Linked DNA regions of Arabidopsis thaliana. The protein of the gene in region 2 purifies or fractionates together with the protein of the main gene of each other region. This does not show direct contact. Each region holds a gene or a part of one and is shown on either strand. Other genes may lie near its edges. The genes, in order: RPT5A and ATS9.

Evidence for each region.
Region 1: the proteins of ATS9 (region 2) and RPT5A purify together in Arabidopsis thaliana (affinity purification with western blotting; 2 studies listed by BioGRID, with this or other methods). This does not show direct contact.

The regions. Positions count from the first base shown.
Region 1 is NC_003074.8:1,601,521-1,606,863, reverse strand, and holds RPT5A (regulatory particle triple-A ATPase 5A), read right to left. Parts: upstream 3,506-5,343; 5' UTR 3,325-3,505; coding exon 3,205-3,324; intron 2,855-3,204; coding exon 2,738-2,854; intron 2,637-2,737; coding exon 2,529-2,636; intron 2,424-2,528; coding exon 2,232-2,423; intron 2,153-2,231; coding exon 1,961-2,152; intron 1,783-1,960; coding exon 1,664-1,782; intron 1,577-1,663; coding exon 1,489-1,576; intron 1,395-1,488; coding exon 1,275-1,394; intron 1,189-1,274; coding exon 1,048-1,188; intron 949-1,047; coding exon 871-948; 3' UTR 621-870; downstream 1-620. Other genes in the region: AT3G05540 (Methionine sulfoxide reductase (MSS4-like) family protein), read left to right, coding at 9-166, 257-377. UniProt on the Arabidopsis thaliana protein: The 26S proteasome is involved in the ATP-dependent degradation of ubiquitinated proteins. The regulatory (or ATPase) complex confers ATP dependency and substrate specificity to the 26S complex.
Region 2 is NC_003070.9:10,178,516-10,183,502, reverse strand, and holds ATS9 (non-ATPase subunit 9), read right to left. Parts: upstream 3,202-4,987; 5' UTR 2,906-3,201; intron 2,905-2,905; exon of another isoform or gene 2,632-2,904; intron 2,290-2,631; 5' UTR 2,264-2,289; coding exon 1,004-2,263; 3' UTR 715-1,003; downstream 1-714. Other genes in the region: AT1G29140 (Pollen Ole e 1 allergen and extensin family protein), read right to left, coding at 3,692-4,038, 4,306-4,474. UniProt on the Arabidopsis thaliana protein: Component of the lid subcomplex of the 26S proteasome, a multiprotein complex involved in the ATP-dependent degradation of ubiquitinated proteins. In the complex, RPN6A is required for proteasome assembly.

The DNA.
Region 1 (5,343 bases), on a different chromosome or scaffold from region 2:
TCTGGCAGGAGCAACCATCGTTTGACAAGAAACAATTTGTGATGTTTATGAAAAGATACATCAAGCAACTAAGCCCTAAGTTGGACTCAGAAAACCAAGAGCTGTTCAAGAAACACATTGAGAGTGCCACCAAATTCTTGATGTCAAAGCTCAAAGACTTCCAATTGTAAGCTCTTCTCTTTTATCTTCTTTCTTCTATTTTTTTTTTGAAGTTAATTTTGTCTAATTGGTGAATTATTTTCAACGAATGTGACAGCTTCGTGGGAGAGAGCATGGAAGGAGAAGAAGGGAGCTTAGTGTTTGCTTACTACAGAGAAGGAGCCACTGATCCTACTTTTCTCTACTTGGCCTACGGCTTGAAAGAGATCAAGTGCTGAATACTTCAAAGCTACAGATTTTATTTTTTTATTTTGGAGTTTTACTTTTTGTTAGTACTTTTGGTTAATCTTGAGAGATTTTTCTATTTCAAGTGAAGTTAACTTTTATGCAATTTCCTTAAATTGAGAGCTTGAAAGGATTAGTGCAACGAAAAAGGCCTGATTAGTTTTAAAAATTCACTTGATATACGTTCAAAATACTATGATATATACAAAATATTAGAGATTGATAAGTGAATTCTCTTAAAAATTTCTGAAAGAAAACATAATTTTAGAATAGGTCTATATACCATGAACCAATACTATAGAGATACTAAGATTTCTAAATTTCCAAACTTGTTTTCAGAAGAAGATGAACACAATTAAATGTATTTTGATATAATAGATGATCCTGATTCGAAAACTTAAAAAGATCCAAATCGGAATGAGGGTACAAGTAAAACTAGTTGAAAGATAAACGGCATTGATAAAAATAAATGATGAGAGAGAGAGATCAGGCGTAGTAGTTCAAGCTTGCTTTCTTCTTGGCCTGGACTTGGATGATACCTTCATTGAAGTCTTCATGGTTCACCTGAACACACAAACACAACAACAGAGAACCCCACCTTAAAAAACAGACCAAACTACACAATCATAAAGCTCAAATCATTAAGAGTTCTGTCTTTTTTACCTCTGTGGCATCACGGCGAAGAGCTAACATGCCTGCCTCTACACACACTGCTTTCAGCTGAGCTCCATTGAAATCATCTGTTGATCGTGCAAGCTCCTCAAAGTTGACGTCTGGGTGGACATTCATCTTCCTTGAGTGAATCTGGATTCATTCAGTTGGGTTAGTTGTGTTATGAGAGCCTTTTACTTATCACCAAGGGTCATGTTTGAAAAATGGGAGAGACAAACCTGCAAGATTCTTGCTCTCGCTTCTTCGGTTGGGTGTGGGAACTCAATCTTTCTGTCTAATCGACCAGAACGCATGAGTGCTGGGTCCAGAATATCTGCACGGTTAGTAGCTGCAATCACCTGAAAAAATAGAAAGGTATGGTTGTTACTGTTTCTTTGAGAACGATTTTTAAGACCAGTATGATTAGTCCTTAGAATGGATAAAGACACTCACCTTAATACGTTCATCGCTACTGAATCCGTCAAGTTGATTGAGCAACTCCAACATAGTCCTCTGCACTTCCCTGTCTCCGCTGACTTCACTGTACTCTCAACCAAAGAATGTGATTTGAGCAAATAGCTGAGAAAGTGCAGAAATACATGAATTGGAATCAGAAAAAGATTTGTACCTGTCGAAACGCTTTGTACCAATGGCATCGATTTCATCTATGAAGATAATGCACGGAGCTTTCTCTTTGGCAAGTTGAAAGGCATCACGGACAAGCTTTGCTCCGTCTCCAATGAACATCTGTATATAAATTGGATATGTCATCATGTCATTACAATCAAGTATCATTATAGCTCGTCACATGTAATTATTGTTGCCAGAACACTAAAATCTTATATCCAGACAGGGTAAAGAGTTCTAAGAGATGAGAATTGAATCTGATACTCATATATATATATATATATATATATATATATACCTGGACCAATTGAGGGCCTGCCAATTTAAGGAAGGTGGCATTGGTCTGTGCTGCGCAGGCACGAGCCATTAAAGTTTTACCAGTCCCTGGGGGACCATACAAGAGCACTCCCTTTGGTGGACGAACACCCAGCTTCTCAAAACGTTCCTTGTGCGTCATGGGAAGCACAATTGCCTCTACAAGCTCTTGGATCTGTTCCAGAAATAAACTCAATTAGTTTCACTACGAAGCAAAGTCAATACAGCAGATTAACACAATGGTATAAACATACCTGCTTCTCTAGTCCTCCAATGTCATTGTAATCTTCAGTTGGTTTTTCATCGACCTCCATGGCTTTAACCCTAGAGTCATACTCGGATGGCAAGGTATCCAAAATCAAGTAGCTATCTTTGTTAACTCCAACCAAGTCACCAGGTTTCAAACTATCAGGATCCACGAGTCCAACAACTGGTAGAAAGATGGTCTGCAGTCCACATAACGAAAACAAAAGTATTTGCTCAGACATGAAACGGGAAACGGAAGAGAAGATGTAGAAAACATATCTAAAGAATGGGTTTGGAAGTCTCACCTGCCGTGTAGACGTTTTCAACACAACACATTTTCCTTTCCGTTGCGAGTCAAGATCAATATTTGCACCATCTTCCTCAGCATCATCTTCTGGATTCATCTCCAAAATCTAATAGCATGATATGGTAACACAACAGTTAGAATTCAAATCAAATAGGTAAGACTCTGTAGGAAAATACCAAAAATAAGATAAGAAAACTAGTTGAATACCTCGACAATGTTGCCAACCAAGTAAGGCAGCTGCTTGTTGAGTTTAATCTTCTCCTGATTCTCCTTAATCTTCTCCTTGTAAGAATCACATTCTAGATTTGTTCTTTGCGCGTCTTCCTAAATCCCCATCAAAGAAAAACACAAGATGAGCAATTTCAACATATCCAATTTGCAACAAGAAAGACGTAGCTTTTCAATTCAATCAATCTCAGTTGAGTTGAAAAATCCAAACTTTGAAAACACACGAAGAAATCACAAGAAGGGTCATAAAATTAAAGGTCTAGTTCATCTCCTGCTTCCACGGATTACACGAAACTCAAACCCTAAACCCGTAATCGCGAAAAATCGAAACCAGATTCGAGCCTGACCTTACTGGAATTAAAGCGATTGATGAAACCAATTTAAGAAGATACAATCATGGAGAACGATATAAAGGCAAAGGAGATCGAGAGAGATATAGGGCAAACCTTGAGAATTCGAATCTCGTTGTCGAGAAGACGAGTAGCTCTAGTGATATCTTCGGTGGACATGGAAGCAAGCTGATCCTCTTCGAAGCTTGACGTATCTTCAACCATAGGAGTTGCCATTTCAATACCCAAATCGGAGAGATAGATCGCCGGGAAGAGAAGAGCAAAGAGTTAGGGATTTCTCAAAGGGAGAGGAGAGGGAGAGCGACTATGAGAGAAAAAAAACCAATAAGGAGAGAAGACGAGAGAAAATAAATAACCAAAAAGAAAAAAGTAAATTATATTAGCTATTAAAAATAAAAAAGAGTTTTCTTAGGAAAACTTGTCTTCAAAGAAATGCATAGGGGAAAACCTCTGAACGAGTTAGAGTCTTCCACATTCTCTCGAACTAACTCAATATAAGACAATTTAAACCCCCCTGACTATAGCTTTCAGATTTACATTCCAATTATGAATGTCTAAATCTACTCTTGAAATTGCAAGAACCTTAATCACAAGAACTGCAACAGAAAGATTTCTTCCAAAAAAACAAACTTTATTAGAAATGCTGTTTTATTTATGTCTCTCATCCGAAATTTAAAAGAAAACCAAAATTCATTAAAACATCATAAACCTTTACAAATTCTTGTCATATATTCGAGCGTTAAGTAAACATATATATGCTCAAAACTCAATCATAAATGACAAGTAATGCCTCGGAATCTAAAAAAAACAATAATCAACAACAGAAAAGTAGTAGCATTAAACAAGCTTTTTTTGTAGCTAAGTCAGCATTGGTTGTGATAGTGGAGCCATCTTCATATAGCAAAACGATGACGTTCACGGGAGTTGGCGGGATGTATGCAATTTCAAGAGTAGTGATTCCCATAGGGATCACATTTATTGTGCAGTATCATTCGGCTAGATCTGAGGCGAAAAAGCAGGAGGATGAAAGTGATCACTGAAGACGTCCAAAGTCAGCAATATGCGATTATGAAATCAGGTAAAATTATATTTGTATTAGATGACTACCCACGCTACGCGTGGGTTTGTTTTAAAAATTGTTAAAAAAAAATTACATTGATTGTTCTTTATGCTAATTTATATTTATTATTTGTTTATTTTTGTATTATTAATAAAATTAGATCCATAATATGTAGTGATAATTTTTATGGTTAGATTCATTTGTGATTTGAAATATCAATTTATATATTTTGTCTATAAAGCTAATTATTTATAAGATTTTAATATTTTTTCACTAAATGAATACATATAACAACAATAATGATATTTTGATACAATTCTGTGTAACTATGTTATGTTTGTAGTTTAAAATTTTCCTAACTCGATTATAAATAAATCAATTCCTTGTTTTATGTACTTCAACAATATTGTGATAGACTCATGATTAAAGTTTGGATTGACATCAACTGAAAAAGATCTGAAGACTATTCGTACAAAAAAATAAAAAAATAGCAAAAATTGAATGTCATTGAAGTCAATACTTTTGGATATTTTGTCATTGCATATATCAATATTTAATAAATGATTGTGTCTTGGATGATTTGAAAATTGTTCAACTTGATTATAAATAAGAAGGTGGAGGAAATGGGTAATTACGTATGCTTTTGTTTATTTTTAGACGATGGAAGATACTTAGTTGTTTGTGTGTGTATCAGGAGGAAGGAGACCATCTCTGGACGTGGAAAACTCGAAGATGATTTGCAAGAAATTTGTGAGCCTCAACTATGACTAGTGCTCATGCTTGGAACTGAAACTATTTCTTTTAGTATATATCTAGTAATTGCTAGCTTATCACTCTTTAGACATTTTGCACCATCGTTTTGGGCATGGGACCAATATCTGATCAATATTCAAAAGTGGTTTTTGTAATGACTTTAACTTAAGGATTTTAATTTAATCATGATTCAGGATATATCAGCATCGTCTTAACAAATTAAAACAAAGCTTTCTAACCGAGGTGAACACAAAATTAATGGAGGTGATTGACAATTGAATTAAGAACAAGGATGGGGACAACGCATTATCATTAAAAACAAACGTGATTAGATTATCACTACAAACGTGATTAGATTACCACCCGGGGCCTAAGACTTTCACCATGGGCCTCTATTATTGGGCTTTCCTTTCAAATTGTGC
Region 2 (4,987 bases):
CTTGAAACTATTTATTAGTAGTACTAATTTTTTTAGTTATTATTGCTCAATCTCATAAACCTATAGAAATCTAACTTTTTTGGTCTTTGTAGCTTCGCATCGTTTAAGTGTACGTAAAGTTAGTTAAAGATTATGGACATTAGTCTAGTTAATCTTTCAACCAAGAAGAAACCTCATTCAATTGGACATTTAAGTTTTCACTTTTCAGCTATAAACTGACAATCACACAATAATGGGATACCTACATAACTAGAATAAGGTTTTTACTGTTTATGAAGAAGAAATTGAACAAATATTGGAACACTCTAAATGTTTGTCCTTCCAATAAAAGACCAGTAAACCACTAATGATAAATAACCTTTTCAAACAGCCAAAAAAATGTCTTAAATCTTAACGAAATATTATGATTTGTGAAAATATATGCCTTATCAACATTTTTGTGGATGACTGTAGTATGTCACATTTTAGTGTTAACATTTAAAATAAACGTTTTAACAGAATTTGTTTACTTCATCAATAATCACGAAGCTAACTAGAAAAGCTACTGTGATGAAGCAGCACATAAAAGAATATGACAGAAGAAGAGAACAAAATCAAGACTTGCTTGTGTGCAAGTCATGTCCTGAGTTGAGAAAAGAAATGGTGGGTCCTGTGAATTGAGTTCTGGGTTGGTCAGAATTTATAAATGCGGAGATAGAAAAATCAATGAGATTTGGATGAGGTAAAGATTAAAGGTTTTGGAAAAAGAGAACACAATGTTGACTTGCGAGGCTAAGAAAAAGAAACTGCAACAACCAGATGAAAACAAACTACATTTTAAGCACTAATAAAAGGTAAGAAACCATGACATAATAAGATCATAAGCAAAACGAGTAATGTGAACAATTCAGACAAGTTTACTTTCTCCATTGAGAAACATCAGTTTCTTTGAGTCCAAACGATATCTAAAACCAGAAAGAAAGAACGATAGAATGAGATTCATACGACCAACTCACTCACTCTCTCAGGACATGATTTTGGCAGACCGGACATAAAGGCTGTCGACGACCTTCCCCATGTTTGCAATGGTTTCGAGGGTAGCCGAGTAGATAGCATCTGCCTTTGGGTCTTCGAAGATGATGAGGCATCCAGCTCCTTGATCCAAGGTACCTGCAAATTTCTTGTCGAGTATCATCTGAGATAGCTTCTTTTCCACATGGTCGAGCGGCAATCCAATGAGCTCAGCAATGTGAGCTATCTCAACTCTTGAGAAGGGCTCGATCAAACGACACAGATTTTGCTCCAGAAGCGTGTCATAGAGAGAAGAGAGATGCCTGTGGACAATTGGGTCATCTTCAAGCTGTGCTTTGTAGTCACGGAGTGCGTTCTCAAACAACTTCAAGGACCTCTTCGAGTGAGCATCAGCGACTGCTTTCATGGCATCCAGGTCAGGGCCAACGTACTGTAGTCCAGCCTTTGAGGAGATTATTCCTGCAACATCATCAGCTTGGCTAACCATGATCTTGCACAGTAACATGTACTTCAAACTGAAAACCGCTCTCGGATCTCCGAGAGCGTTGAAGGACTCAAAGGCTTCAAAGAAGTAACTGTATCCGGTTTTGTAGTCTTTCTCTTCAGCATGAAGAATCCCACTCTGCAGATCTATCGTGCCTTGTTGAGCTGGTGGGACATATATAGCGTTAGCAGCTGTCCTAGCTGCAGTGAGTGCAGCTTTTGCCTTGGGTAAGTTTCTCAATGAGAAGTGAAGTTTGCTCTCCAGCAAGTCTATGTCGACCAGAAGGAGCTTATCATCTAATCTCCTAACCTCTTTTACCAAAGTACTCAACAACGCCAAAGCTTCAACATACTCCTTGTTCTCCATCAAAAGAGCTGCAAGCCTAGCCTCTACTCGCTGCCTGAGGAAAGTACGCTTCTCAGCGCGGGTCCATTCGACCATCTCTTTGCAGAGAGTGATCTGGAGATCAGTTGTTCCAGGAATCTTTGCCACAGCATCAATGATTCCTCTGACGATTTTCGCAGTTTTCGCCTTGGGGATTAAGGAAAAGAAAGGCCTCAACTTGGTCAACAGTTTCCGGAGATCCTCACCTCTCTTCTCTTCAGTCAATCGATCACAAAGGTTTGTAATCGCTTGCTCCTTGATCCGTATAGCCTCAGGAGATGAAGAAGGGTCTTCCAAAACCTGGTACAGTATCGTAATAGCCTCCGAGCTGTTGGCTTCTAAAGCCAGGGAAATCGTCTCTGTGGTAGCACGATAGGAAACCATTGTGGGTTTAGTGCAAACTCAAATCCCTGCAACAATAAAGCCATAGACCTGTTAATGCAATGTTCAAATATTTCTCCTTTCAAGCTTATTGATACTCTTTAGGTTTCACATCACTACAAAAACAAATCCATCTTCGATACATTACCAAGATAATCAGATAAAGACAAGCCACGATGGTAATTTATCACTGTAATTTATCAACTCTTCTGTACCTAATGATCAAGACAAGCCTAGAGATCTATCAAAGACAAAGATACAACGAGGCTACAATAAGTAATACAGGAACTGAATTACAAAGCCTATGAAACTATAACCTAATTTTTAAGTAATAAGATGAATCACAGAGACATAGTTCAGTAATTACTAACTTATTCAGTTCGAATTCTTCGACTCAAATACTTTTAAGATCTATTTAATTTTGTATTCAGCTTCTTTCAATCAGAATTAGAACATCCTCGGGCCCATCTTCACTGAGATCAACTAAATCGAAGAAAGCTAAACCCTAGAACTATCGAGACAAGGAACCAGATGTGGTTTTTTAAAACATCGAAAACAATACGCATACCAAAACCCAGAATTAAGCAGATCTGATAAGCAAACCCAGAAGAAGAATTAATGAAATTTCGCAAGAACAAGACTTACCGATGAATCGTCGGGGGCGTGAGATTTTGGTAAAGCTTTTCGACGACGGTATAGAAGAAATAAGAAGAAGAAGATTCGAGAGTTTTTTTTGGCTTGAAAGAAAAGATAAATGGACAGTCTTCTCGTAGTTTTACAATTTTTTGAAGGGTATATTTGTCTTTAGATGCTGAAATCAGGAAATAGAGAACGCTTAACAAATTCGGCGTCTTAAAATCTAGCGTTTCGGATTCAGAGTTTGAAAACCAACGCCAGACGCTGCAAAAGATCCTGGTGCAAACGCTTGTCGTGAAAACGCGTTTTGTGATTCAGGCCTAGTGGCTCAGACTAAAGGCCCAATATATACAAAACTCTGATCCGCCTTCTTTAGGTAAGGGTTCGATTTTATTTGTTGTCTTTTGCTTATTTCAGTTTGAGTCATTTACCTCAAACTATAATTCACATTATATGTTACATATGTAGCTTTCTCAAACTGTCATAAATTTCACTATGCATGTAAATGATTTAAATTTATTTTAGAGTAGGGTTTTTCACTACATCATGCATGTATCTGTTCAATCGAAAAGTAACAAATAAATATTGGAAGGTAATCAAATCATTCGTAAAAAAGAACTCCCAAAAATAAAACAATAACAACGAAAAAAAAACATGGTTAATTAGTAAACTCAGACAGACACATAAAAAACATAAATAAATGTTTTATATATTAAAAAGAGTCATCAAAAAAATTGAAAGTGTTGAGACTTTGAGAGATCGATGTATATGGGTGTGTATATATGTATATTAAGCTTAGAAGGTGACGTCAGGGACGATTCCAAGCTCCTTGAAAACTTGAGGGCATTCAGCGAGAGGAGTCTTCCTCATGAACCCAAGTGGGTTAATGGTTCGAGTCTCGTTGGAGACAATGCCATCATTGGCCGTGAGACTGATTCTGGCTGCGTTTCTTAGGAATTCTTGGTTGTTCACGTCTCCACACTCTGGGTCAGGTGATTGGAGGAGGACGATCTCGCACACTTCCTCTTCGTGGTCACCCATTACTTCCATCTGGTAGTTACCGGCGTTGTCGGTCACGGCTTCTTTGGTTAGGGTCACTGTCTGGTTCTCACGACCCTTGCACTCAAGCTTTACCTTTGCCCCTGATATACACACAATAACGTAATTAGTTTTTCTTATAATCTTGCAACACTAACTCTTAGAAATGTGACTAACCACATTTTTATAAAATTTTAACATTGTTAAAAAGACGTCTATATATGCTTGTAATCATTTTTGTGAATTTTTACTACACAATTCTAACCATTGACCTATATACCATAATGGGATCGATTTTTTATCAACCAATATATTTTGCTATTGACAGTATGCTCAACAAATGAATTTGATTAGAGAATGTGGTTAATTACCCTCGAGAAATTTGCTGATACGGGTGATGAATTGGACACGGCATGTGTCGCAGTAGACGGAGCCCTTGATGTGGAATTTGTCAAAGTCGTCGGCATCAGCTGCGGTGAAGTGAACGAGGGTGGTGAAACATAGGGCAGAGGCAAGGAAGACAATGAAGAATTTGGCCATTATGCCTTAATCCTTTTTTTTCTTGTGTTTTTACTTCGGTCTTCTCCTCTCTTGGATTTGAGAGTTTATTTGTAAAATTTAGTTTTTAAGGGAGAACAAATTGTAAGCTTTGGTTGAGAGGAGACGCTATGATAGATCCAACCAAATATCTCCTTTTATAGAGAACAAATAGACAAAACAACAAAACCATGTGATTCTATATCTATTTTTGGAAGTTTTTTTGTTTATTTTTGGTGTTTTTGTTCTTGAGTTTTGTACGGCTGTGTTTTCCTTGAACCCGATCTTTTCTCATTGCCATCTGTTTTTCTTTTCTGTTAATAATTCTTCATAGATTCCGTTTAGGTCTTTTTTGTATGAGGATGGTTTCCCAAATGTCAATCTATAGAATCTTATGTATGTTTAGACCTCCACTAAAAAGATTCAATGGGGGTGGAGAATTATCTACTAGACCCCAAAGTGAAAGTTTTATTAGTAGTAAATGACTAATTAATCTGAGCCGCACATGAAAGCTTT